2 linked regions of the Macaca fascicularis genome follow. The protein of the gene in region 2 purifies or fractionates together with the protein of the main gene of each other region. This does not show direct contact. Links are inferred from orthologs where the notes say so. Each region holds a gene or a part of one and is shown on either strand. Other genes may lie near its edges.

Region 1 (5,376 bases), on a different chromosome or scaffold from region 2:
ATGATTGCAGGCACTGTGTTCCAGATTTTATAGGTCCTATTAATACTCTCAAAAGTGTATGTCTGTGTGAATGCATTTTATTTTATTATTATTGAAAACATGAGCAAATAAGCATTCTCAACACTATGGATCTCTGGTCAACAGAGGACTGGGTTGGAAGATGGGAGCACAGAAAGCGAAAGTCACCCGGCACTTGTCTTATTCACATCTGTGCGCACCAGCTGGGGCATAGAAGGGCTTCTGCCTCAGGCATGGAGGCAGGTGCCCACAGATATCAGTATTCCAATCCCTTGCTCACTCCATACCAGTCCTTCTCCTTTCTGATACCACACAGACCTGGTCCTTCTTGAGTAAAGAGTGTAAAATAGATGCTAGGCCTCGGTGGTGACTTTGTACCCTCTCCCACCGCAATCTCCTGCAAGTTATCCATTAGTTCCAGGCGTTTGGATTTCTCTATGGTGGTCCCCAGTCCAGAATGGGTTAAACGAGGCCGTGGCTGTTTTCTGGACACATTTTCTGTCTTGGTGCCACTTCTTTTCTAGGCTGCCCATCTTCCCCCATCCCCAACTCCTCTGCCCAGCCCCGTCTCACTGAGTCTCCGTGCTGAAGAGGAACTCGGCCTGGGCGCCCTGAGTGCTCTGCCGCAGAAAGAGTCGGAACAGGTTTTTGTGAGGTCCATGTAGCTTCATTTCACACTTCTCCCCCCGAATGGAGGAGAAGGGAGCATGGTCAAATACCAGGAATCGGCTACCCCTGCAAAATACAAATCCTTTCAACCTGATTCTAGAGTTTCCATACTTCACCTACCCTCATAACCTTGGATTCAAAATTCCTGCATCTGCAGCCTGCAAATTCCCATAAAAACCACAAGATGGTCCTAACTTGCTCCCAAGATGGTAGCTCCAGGGTCCTCAGGGCTTTGTCACTAGTCTGGCAAACCACACACCTAGTGCAATGGATACATTACCACTTTAAAGAGGTGAAGAGGTAGAATTAATATACATTTCCCAAGAACCTTAAGACCAGAGACTTAAGATCTGGAATTAGCTAAGTATCTGTAGAATAGTAGGTTGAGCCTAGTCCAAAGAAGCCACAAATAGACTGATATGAGAACGTGATAAGCTAATTTGCTACATTTTGCTCTGTGTCTATAACACAGTACATGTCCTGCCATGTGGTCTCATGACATAGTTTGATGGGATCCCCTTTTTGCTTTGGGCTTGTTTTTCTCTTCTCTAGGCTATGACCTGGGCTCTATGGGTTAAGCCATTGACAAGGGCTCTTCTAGGAACATGACCTGTCTCTCTCCCTTTCCGACCTCCTCTTGCCTCATCCCCTTCCTCTCTTGTGCCCTGGCCCGCCACTCCAGTCACTGACTCTCGGGGCCGAGACAGCAGCAGACAGTCATTGAAGAGGTGAAGGTGGACTGGACGTGTGTTCAGCTTCCTTCGCAGCCCTGGGGAAACACTGAACTCCAAGGCTGTCAGCTCCCCACTCTTCACCAGCCAGCGTGACTGAGAAATGAGCGGGAATATCTACAGGGCAGAGGAAGAGAGAGAAGGCAGTGTCACATATGGGAGAAGCATGAGGTTTGCTCCTGGTCCCACCCTCCTCCCCATGACACTTCCATGCAAGTTCCACCTCGAACAAGCATCTCTTCCACATCTGCCTTCTGGCTCATAACCCATCACTTAGATTCTCTTTCTCTCTGAACCCTCTAACTACCACTGTCCACTGGTGTGTGGATCCCATGGTTGTATGCTCAGGCAAACAGAAGATGCCTATGGTCCCACTCAGGATAGTGAGTGTGTGGGACAGCTCTGCCCTAGAAGCCTGAACCGAAGGAGGGATGGAAGAGTCCAATCAGGGTATGTGATGGAACAAGTCAGTGAACACTGTATGTGTCTTAGAGGTTAAAATATCAGAGGCAGGTCTGGTATCAATTCCATTTTTTATTATACCAGAGATATGTGAGCAGTTGGAATCAAACGTGGGGGTGAGAAGAAGAACCAGGTGGGGCGTCTTGGAGCTGGAATTTGGTTATAGATGAGGGTGTGGTCTATGCTTAGTATGTGAATAAGGGATTTTCTTTCTTTTTCAGGAGTGTAAAGATAGTATCTGTTCTAACCACGGGTGTGGTGGCTCACGCCTATAATCCCAGCACTTTGGAAGGCAGAGATGGGTGGATCACTTGAGGCCACGAGTTGGAGATCAGCTTGTCCACTATGGTGAAACCCCATCTCTACTAAAAATACAAAAATCAGCCAGACATGGTAGTGCAGACCTGGAATCCCAGCTACTCGGGAGGCCGAGGCATGAGAATCGCTTGAACCTTGGAGGTGGAGGTTGCAGTGAGCTGATCGCACCCCTGCACTCTAGCCTGGAGCGACAGAGTGAGACTCTGTCAAAAAAAAAAAAAAAAAAGAAAAAAAAAAAAGATGATATCTGTTCTAAGTTGGAATTCGAATGTGGAATGTCTATTTTAGATTTGTATTTCAATGAAGGATGTTGGTCCTAAATTTGGATCCAATCTTATGTAGGTTTGATTAGACTAGAAAGAGATTTGATAAAGTAATAAATGACTCAAGCACCAAAACATTGTTTTATAAAGGCTCATCATGAAAAGTTCTCTCTTATCTGCCCATTTCTCAAATGCACCCCCTTGTCCTCAGGTAACCACTATTCCTTTTTTTCTTATTCTCCTTCCAGAGTTTCCGTATGTACACACAAGCAGATACCTGTATGTATTTGTATCCTCCCACTTTTATACCAAAGGTGATATAATACACACACTTTTCTTTACCTTCTCTTTTCACTTAGCAATATGTCTTGGAGACCGAAGTAGGCCTCCCAGAAATAGGACAGAACAGAAGTTGGGCAGAAATGAGGGGAGGGGCTGGGGATAATGTGAGCAAGGTGGTTCCAGGTTAGGGGTCATCTGCAGGACATGTTGAGGGAGTTCATGGGCAGGGATGGCATGCATGGGACCGACTCACTTTGCACTCAAACTCAATCTTCTGGCTTAGGTAGATTAGCTCCTCTGTCTGTCGCATACTCTGGACATTGTTATTGCAGTCCCGGATCAGCTAGGGGTGCATAGAGTGAGGAAAGGGGAAGGGCACCGTGTTAGAGGCTTTGACCTTTGAGTCCCCTGCAAGCAATCTGGAAATAGGTTATGACAGCCTCGGTCATTTCTCACAGGCTGGAATTGGGCAGGCAGTATCAAGCACAAGTCCTGGGCAACTTTGCATGACCCGGAAGAACATTCTTGGACTGAGTAAAAATGAGATTGAATGTGGGAGCGATGGTGGAGAGGGCACAGTCCCTTGATGTGGAGCGTGCTCAGCGTGGGACAGGTGGCCGTGGGGTGTGTATGTTTGGAAGTTTGGTGGATGCAGGGAGGTGGCTGAGCTCTCCCAACAGGGTCCCACCTCCCATGCTCCCTGGAGTCACGGGCCTAGGCGGGGAAGACCTCTCTGGGAAGAACACACAGAGGGTCGGAGGGTCAGATTGGAGGTGGTGGCTGCCTACCTGCTCCAGGGCATGGTGCGCCTTCGTGGCCTCTGCCTCCTCCGAGGAGCCAGGCTGTGTTCTCTTCAGAATGTTCTATTGAACAGACAGTGGGCAGGAGTGATAGGGGAAGAAGAAACGGGAAACAGGAAGAAATGATTGGGGGCTGGTGAATGGAGAAGCCCAGGGACCCCATTTCAGCAGCAAACATTTCTAAGCAACCAGGCAGTGGGTAGCAGGGAGACAGGATGTGGAGATCTGGCAGAAGAATGGTTGGTCCTTTGTTATGGGTCTTCCTGAGGGCATCCCTTTGAGTTAAGGGGAGAGGATCAAGGTAGCATCTGCCCTACCTGGAGCAGCAGTTTGAGGCGGGTGATGCGTTGGAAGGGCAGAATCAGAAAAGACTTGAGGGAAAGGCGCTGGCAGACGGGGTCGCTCTCCAGCTTCTCCAAGACCTCTCGGAAATTGCTGTTGCTATTCCTGCATGGAGAGCGAGCCTTAGGGGAGGGGGGATGTGGGGACCAATGGGGATGCAGTGAAGGTGCGGGGAAGGGAGCTCAGTGGAATATCTGTGGGTTGGGAAAGAGCAGTGGGAGCTGATGTACAGGGCGCTCAGATGTGATGGTTGGGGGAACCAACACGGAGGGCGGGATGGGGAAGTGTGCTCTTGGGATAGCCCGCTGGGCTGGAGACTGGTGCATGGTCACTGCAGGCCTACATGGGGATTGAATGGAGGATGAGTCTCACATCAGGCTCTGGAAGGTGCGTTCCTGATAGGTCTGGTTGGTGACATAAGGCAGGTAGACCCGGCGGAAGTCTGGGGCATGGTTCAGGACTACATCACATACTTGGAAGGAGAAGATATTGTTCTCAAAGTTCTCTTCCAGGTCTGAAAGGAACCTGTACAGGATTTAAACAAGTCTCATGAGACTTCTGGGCCTCAGTTAAGCAGTTGACTGGCCCCTGATGTACACTGAGCTGGTGACTTCTTCACTCCATTAGCCAATAACTTCTATTGACTCTCCTTTGCTCTGTGCACCTTGCTATGCACTAGAATTCTCTCCAAAACTGTCCTGAGTTTGAGCCTAATTTAACACTTGTATTCTAATATTCCATTTCTCATTCTTCTTTTGACCCTGTTCAGGTTTTCTGATCTTTAGATGGTTTTTCCACCTCATCTTCAATGTAGTGCATGACCACAGTCATCCAAAACCTCAACCCAGGAAGCATTGCTCATTTACTTCTCCGTTAATGGATCTATCCACCCACAGGCCCTCTCCTCTTCTTGCTATTCTTTTTCCTACAGCCATCAGGAATCATGGAAGAAACTGAGGCCCAATTTCATCCCATCTCATAAGAAAATGAAAGGGTTTCTAACAGGGGAAAAAACAGTGGAACATTTAAAGCCTCACAACAGCGAGGCTGAGTGAGTGGGATTTGAGAGAAGGGGGGTCTCACGTGGCGCTGACGTCTCGCACATCCTGTAAACGAGAGAAGAGCCATTGGTGCTCCTGGTTGGAAAGTGTGGCCCGGAGTGAGGTTGAAAGTTGGAAATGATCCACAGCTATGTTTAGACTGCGCAGATAGGAGGCCTCTGACACGATCAGCTCAAATTTGACCTAGGAGGTTGGAGATGAGGAAGATTAACTAAGAATTTTATTTACCCCCTGGAATATGCCAGCCACTGTGTAATGTTTTAGGGGTAGAGCGGTGGGCAAGATCCTTTTATGGTTCACAGTCACACCAGAACCTTAGTTGATCTGCGGGGAGAGGGGAAGAGCATTTGAGTAGGATTTAATCTAGGGTTGAAGCACAGGTACAGTCCTTCAAAGGTGTAAGAAAACTATGCTTTCCAGAAATCTAAAT
Region 2 (5,906 bases):
TTATATGGATACTAGAAGTACAGTTTTTACTGAGTGCTATTGCTTTCACACCACTGTAAAGTTGGAAAATCTGTAGTCTGAGTCTACAGACTCAGAAGAATTCTCTGGTAGGCAAATTAATGACCCTATTAAGTATAAATTTCAAGTTAAATCACTCTACATCACAGTACTAAGAATGCTAAAAAATTTACACATGTAAAAATGAATCATGGTTATAGTCACTCATTCCATTAGGCTATTCTAAATACTCACTTTGTGTACACACAGAAAAATGTAATTTTAGCTTGAATAACTTAAAACCACACAGCGGTCTTATTATTTATGGCTACATTCGGTAACAACAGTTTTGATCCTTAGACCATCTGTATCAAAATCTGCCCATTCAGAGACTGATTCACTGTGGGGTACATCCTGGAGTTCTACCAGAACCTAATTTTAAAAAGATCCCCCAGTGATTTTTATGGATACTAAATTTTACATCATTGCTATACCATAAGGATGCCTTAACCAGATTTTAAAATTTGCATTCCAGATAATGCACTACAATGTCCTTGCATGAAATGAAAATAATGCATACTGGCAGGGTGCGGTGGCTCACACCTGTAATCCCAGCACTTTGGGAGGCTGAGGTGAATGGATCACCTGAGGTCGGGAGTTCGAGACCGGCCTGACCAACATGGAGAAATCCTGTCTCTACTAAAAATACACAATTAGCCAGGCGTGGTGGCTCATGTCTGTAATCCCAGCTACTTGGGAGGCTGAGGCAGGAGAATTGCTTGAACCCAGGAGGCGGAAGTTGCGGCGACCCGAGATCGTGCCATTGCACTCCAGCCTGGGCAACAAGAGCGAGAATCTGTCTCAAAAAAAAAAAAAGAAAGAAAGAAAATAATGCACCGGCGCAGTGGCTCACGCCTGTAATCCTAGCACTTTGGGAGGCCGAGGCGGGTGGATCACGAGGTCAGGAGATCGAGACCATCCTGGCTAACACGGTGAAACCCCGTCTCTACTAAAAATGCAAAAATTAGCCGGGCGTAGGGGCGGGCGCCTGTATTCCCAGCTACTTGGGAGGCTGAGGCAGGAGAATGGCGTGAACCTGGGAGGCGTAGCTTGCAGTAAGCCAAGATGGCGCCACTGCAGTCCAGCCTGGGCGACTGAGCAAGACTCCGTCTCAAAAAAAAAAAAAAAGAAAATAATGCATATTCACTTGGTACCACTAGGAAAAAGGCAACTTTGACCAAAAAAAAAAAAAAAAGAGAGACTTTCAAAAGCCGTTCAGTAATGGTGGACAGTTCCTCTGAATTAAGCAAGTAAGTATTAATTTCTCTCCGGAGGGCATGGTGACTCTCTATTCTGTACCACTTCATTTCTCCAAAATCCATTCCTCTTCTGTTGTATGTGTAATAATTAGAACTCTGATGCACAACATGCGACGTGATAACAGCAATTACTGAGAAGAATCTCTAAGTACCATCAACCAGTAGTATTTAAAACCCAGCAAGCCTCTCAAATCTGAGTAACTTGCTGACGGGGTAAAGTGCCTCAAACATTTAAATGTTTGAGTTATGCAGGGCACAGTGGCTCACGTCTGTAATCCCAAGGCTGAGGTGGGCAGATCACTTGAGGTCAGGAGTTCGAGACCAGCCCGGCCAACATGGTGAAACTCTGTCTGTACCAAAATACAAAAACTAGCCGGGCTTGGTGGCGAGCACCTGTAATCCCAGCTACTCGGGAGGGTGACGCAGGATAATCGCTTGAACCCAGGAGATGGAGGCTGCAGTGAGCCGAAATAGCACCACTGCACTCCAGCCTGGGCGACAGAGCAAGACTCCGTCTCAAAAAAATAAAATTAAGGCCGGGCGCGGTGGCTCAAGCCTGTAATCCCAGCACTTTGGGAGGCCGAGACGGGCGGATCACGAGGTCAGGAGATCGAGACCATCCTGGCTAACACAGTGAAACCCCGTCTCTACTAAAAATACAAAAACTTAGCCGGGCGAGGTGGCAGGCGCCTGTAGTCCCGGCTACTCGGGAGGCTGAGGCAGGAGAATGGCGTGAACCCGGGAGGCGGAGCTTGCAGTGAGCTGAGATCCAGCCACTGCACTCCAGCCTGGGTGACAGAGCGAGACTCCATCTCAAAAAAAAATAAATAAATAAAATAAAATAAAATAAAATAAATAAATAAATAAATAAATGCTTGTGTTTAGTAGGAGAAAGCTGATTATAAGAATTAACTCTGGCCAGGCGCAGTGACCCACGCCTGTACTCCCAACACTTTGGGAGGCCAAGGCAGGTGGATCACCTGAGGTCGGGAGTTCAGGACCAGCCTGGACAACATAGTGAAACCCCCATCTCTACTAAAAATACAAAATTAGCTGGGTGTGGTGGTGAGCGCCTATGATCCCAGCTACTCAGGGGGCTGAGGCAGGACAATCACTTTAACCCAGGTGGTGGAGGTTGCAGTGAGCCGAGATCACACCATTGCACTCCAGCCTAGACAGAGCGAAACTCTGCCTTTAAAAAAAAAAAAAAAAAAAAAAAAAGTCACGTAAGCCCTGAGCCGACCCAATCTTCCTTACTATTATAAAGACATACTAGAAGAAGGCATAAGCAGGCACAAAAGCATAATCTTAAAAGAAAAAGACTAAAAGACAAAAATAACACAAGCAAACCACACTTGTGACCTAGTGGCAGGATTGATTTCTTAGGGATTAATTCAATCTTTTGAGCCTCCCTGTTCTCAGAGAGGGGACTTCAGCCTCCCACAGCTCTCTAGCAACCCTTCTGGCTGACTGCAGGGAACGCGCAAAAGTAAAGGAACGAAAGCAGGAAAGAGAGTCTCTTCCCGAGAAAAAAGATGTAATATTGAAATGAGAGAAAACGAACAGCACGAAAGGGAAGAAACCTCGGAAAATTACGCCAGAGTGGGGACTACAAGGAGGAAGGGGAAGTAGATAAGAGAAAAAAAAAAGGGGGTGATGGGGGGAGGAAGGGACAAATGACTTGCATTACACAAGCATTTCGTGTCCCTATTGGAATGGACAGAAGCAAAGAAGGAAGGACATAACTGGAGAAGTACTAAGTGAAAGAGAGGTAAGAAAGTCAAAAGAGACTAATGCTAATTTCTCTCATGTGTCTGACATTTCTGAAAGTAAACAACATCAAGAGGAGATAGACCTCAAGTGCACTTCAGTCCCCTGCAAACCGCACTTTCATAGCGTTTGAAGCTAGCCTTGAAAAACTTTCTAAACAAGCCATAACTCACATGTGGCTTACAATCACAGAGACGGCACGCTGCAAATGAAAATTACCAGCGCCCGCTCTCGCCGCAATCCTTCCTCGGTGCAGTCCAACCTGCTGCTATTGAATTTTTCTTGACAAACATTTTTCAAATAGTTTTTTTTTTTTTAAGTGTCAGAATAAAGGTATCTCCCCCGGCTCCAGCAGCAAACGTTCTACCCCAAGGTAGATTCCCGCACAAAATTAAGCCCAAAGACGCCAAGAGATGGTGACGTGGTTGCCGTGCAGGTCGAAAGCACATCAATCACCACAGCTGCAACCCACACCAAGTCCCCCGCCACCGGGCTCGGGCGGACTGACTCAGCCGGCGTTCTGCCCGCCTGGGCTTCCCGGGCATCTTCCGTGCAAACCCTCCCGATGAAGGCAGGGGACTTCGCCAGGGAGCCCCGACCTCTTCCCCTGGACTCCCGGACTGCCCAGAGCCGAGAGCCGGAGGAGGACGGTCCCCAGGAAGGAAGCGCCCCAAAAGGGAAAACGTAGAGTCCGGAGCCCCGGGGATTCCGCTCCACGTCCCGAGCCTCGCCGCCCCGACCCGAACCCCGGGGCCGGTCCCGGTTCCCCCGGGGCCCACTCCCGCTGCAGACCGGTGAGGAAGAGGCACCAGAGCCGCGCCGAGCGCAGCCTCCCGCACTCACCGTGGCGCAGCTGCTCCGCTCAGCGTCCGGCCCGCCCCTCCACAACGCTGCGAGCGGCCTGCGACCCAGAGGCTGCTCCGCGAGGGCAGCGCTTGCTCCCGCCGCCGTCACCGCCACAGACACAGGCACAGACACAGCCTCTGACACAGACGCCGCAGCCGCCCGGTCGCCGAAGCACTAGTGCCTCCTCGCTTCCGCTCCCCGTCGGTATCCCGCGAGAACTTCTCCACGAGGCCCCGCCCCGCTCCGCCCCCGCGAGACTTCCCCCAGCGGAAAAGGCCCAGAGCGCAGGCGCTCCTTCTCGGCCGGGCCCCCACAGGTGGGGACAGCTAGCTGCCAGGGCGCATGCGCCAGACCGCCCCGCAGCAGGTGGCCTTGGCACGGCTCCGCCCCCGGGTCGCCGTAACCCTCTCGGTGCCAGAACAGGTAAATGACAACTTGGCCCTGAAGGACTCTTCCCCCGTCTAATCACTTTCTTTTCCTCTTCTACCAAACCGAGGCAGTTGGATGGATAAGGGCTGAGGGGAGGAAGAGATCTTCCAGCATGAAGCGCTCCACATAGAGGACCAGGTCTTGAAGTGTTTGAGAATCCGGTCCGTACAAACTCTGCAGTGTGGAATGATTGGTGAGTTTGTTTGCTCATTGATTGAATCGTGTGCCTAATAGAGACTGAACACTGTGCTGGGTATAGAACAGAAATCTTGGCCCTTAAGGAATTCACTGTCTAGGGAAGTCGAAGAAAAATTAACAAATAATGCCATAAGTACTGTTATAATTATTTGGAGCTGCTGAGGAAGCTAAAAGGATGGAGGAGGGACTGCTACACTGCCCATTGCAGAAGAGCCTTCACAGACGTGATGCGGCGATGTCTGAGCTGAGTCTTGGAGGATGAGTAGGAATTTGCCAGGCAGAGAAGCCAGAGTAAGGGCATTTCAGGGAAAGGGAATGGCACGTAAGTACAGAGGCTAAGTACAGAGGAACGGAGGCGTGAAAGAGAAAGTCGTGTTCTGTGCAGTGCTAAGTAGTTCAATTCCTGTATGAGGCCGGTGAGTACGGGGGAGTGGCAGAAGATGAGGCTTGGAGAAATAATTCTTGTTTTTCAGTTCCCAAAGCTCTTCCAATTAAAGGATAGAACAGAACACACCTAGTGTTAATGTGCCTTCTGGAAGCCAACAAAATAGCGCTGAGATGAGAATAACCAAGCATCTGATTCTATAGAGAAAACAAGCCCATTGAAACACAGAAAATGAATTGTTCTTTCACCAAGTATTTATTGAGCATCATGTGTGTGCAAGGGGCTCTGGAGGGTAAAAGGCCAACCAGATAAAGCCCCTGCTTTCAGTGCTTTGTAATCTGGAGTTGCCTAATCTGTAAGACAGGTAGTTTGGCCCCAAGTGCCACTGAACTACACAGAGATGGCTGAGGAGGGAGCCAGTACTTGGTGATGAACTAATCAAGAAGGATTTGGTTTGAACGGCAAAGTGAAAACGGGGAGGAAAGAGGAAAGAGTAATGGAATCAGTCACTTTTTTTTTTTTTGAGACGGAGTTTCGCTCTTGTTGCCCAGGCTGGAGTGCAATGGCACGCAATCTTGGTTCACTGCAAGCTCCACCTTCTCCCATCTCAGCCTCTCAAGTAACTGAGATTACAGCAGCCCACCACCACACCTGGCTAATTTTTGTATTTTTAGTAGAGACGGGGTTTCGCCATGTTGGCCAGGCTGGTCTACGACTCCTGACCTCAAGTGATCCACCTGCCTCGGCCTCCCAAACTGCTAGGATTACAGGTGTGAACCACCACTCCTGGCCATCAACCAATGTTTTTGATTAGTCTGAGCCCAGGAACTGGGGGGAAGAGTAATGAGAGAGGGGGCCAAAATGCAAAATCTATAGCTCAGGTGTCATAGTCAAGTGATGGGCAACCTCTGAAGGTTTGTGAGCAGGAGATGTCTGATATGAGGTGAAAATAACAAAAGGAC

Evidence for each region. Proteins that work in one complex are often made in the same cells at the same time.
Region 1: the proteins of GRB2 (region 2) and ARHGEF5 purify together in Homo sapiens (affinity purification with mass spectrometry; 4 studies listed by BioGRID and IntAct, with this or other methods). This does not show direct contact. The link is inferred for Macaca fascicularis from reciprocal best matches to the Homo sapiens genes GRB2 and ARHGEF5.

Annotation. Positions count from the first base shown.
Region 1 is NC_088377.1:186,018,516-186,023,891, reverse strand, and holds part of ARHGEF5 (rho guanine nucleotide exchange factor 5), read right to left. Parts: intron 5,130-5,376; coding exon 4,969-5,129; intron 4,411-4,968; coding exon 4,258-4,410; intron 3,991-4,257; coding exon 3,861-3,990; intron 3,607-3,860; coding exon 3,532-3,606; intron 3,087-3,531; coding exon 2,997-3,086; intron 1,536-2,996; coding exon 1,378-1,535; intron 754-1,377; coding exon 592-753; intron 1-591. UniProt on the Homo sapiens protein: Guanine nucleotide exchange factor which activates Rho GTPases. Strongly activates RHOA. Also strongly activates RHOB, weakly activates RHOC and RHOG and shows no effect on RHOD, RHOV, RHOQ or RAC1.
Region 2 is NC_088390.1:81,805,579-81,811,484, forward strand, and holds the start of GRB2 (growth factor receptor-bound protein 2), read right to left. Parts: upstream 4,126-5,906; 5' UTR 3,930-4,125; intron 1-3,929. UniProt on the Homo sapiens protein: Non-enzymatic adapter protein that plays a pivotal role in precisely regulated signaling cascades from cell surface receptors to cellular responses, including signaling transduction and gene expression.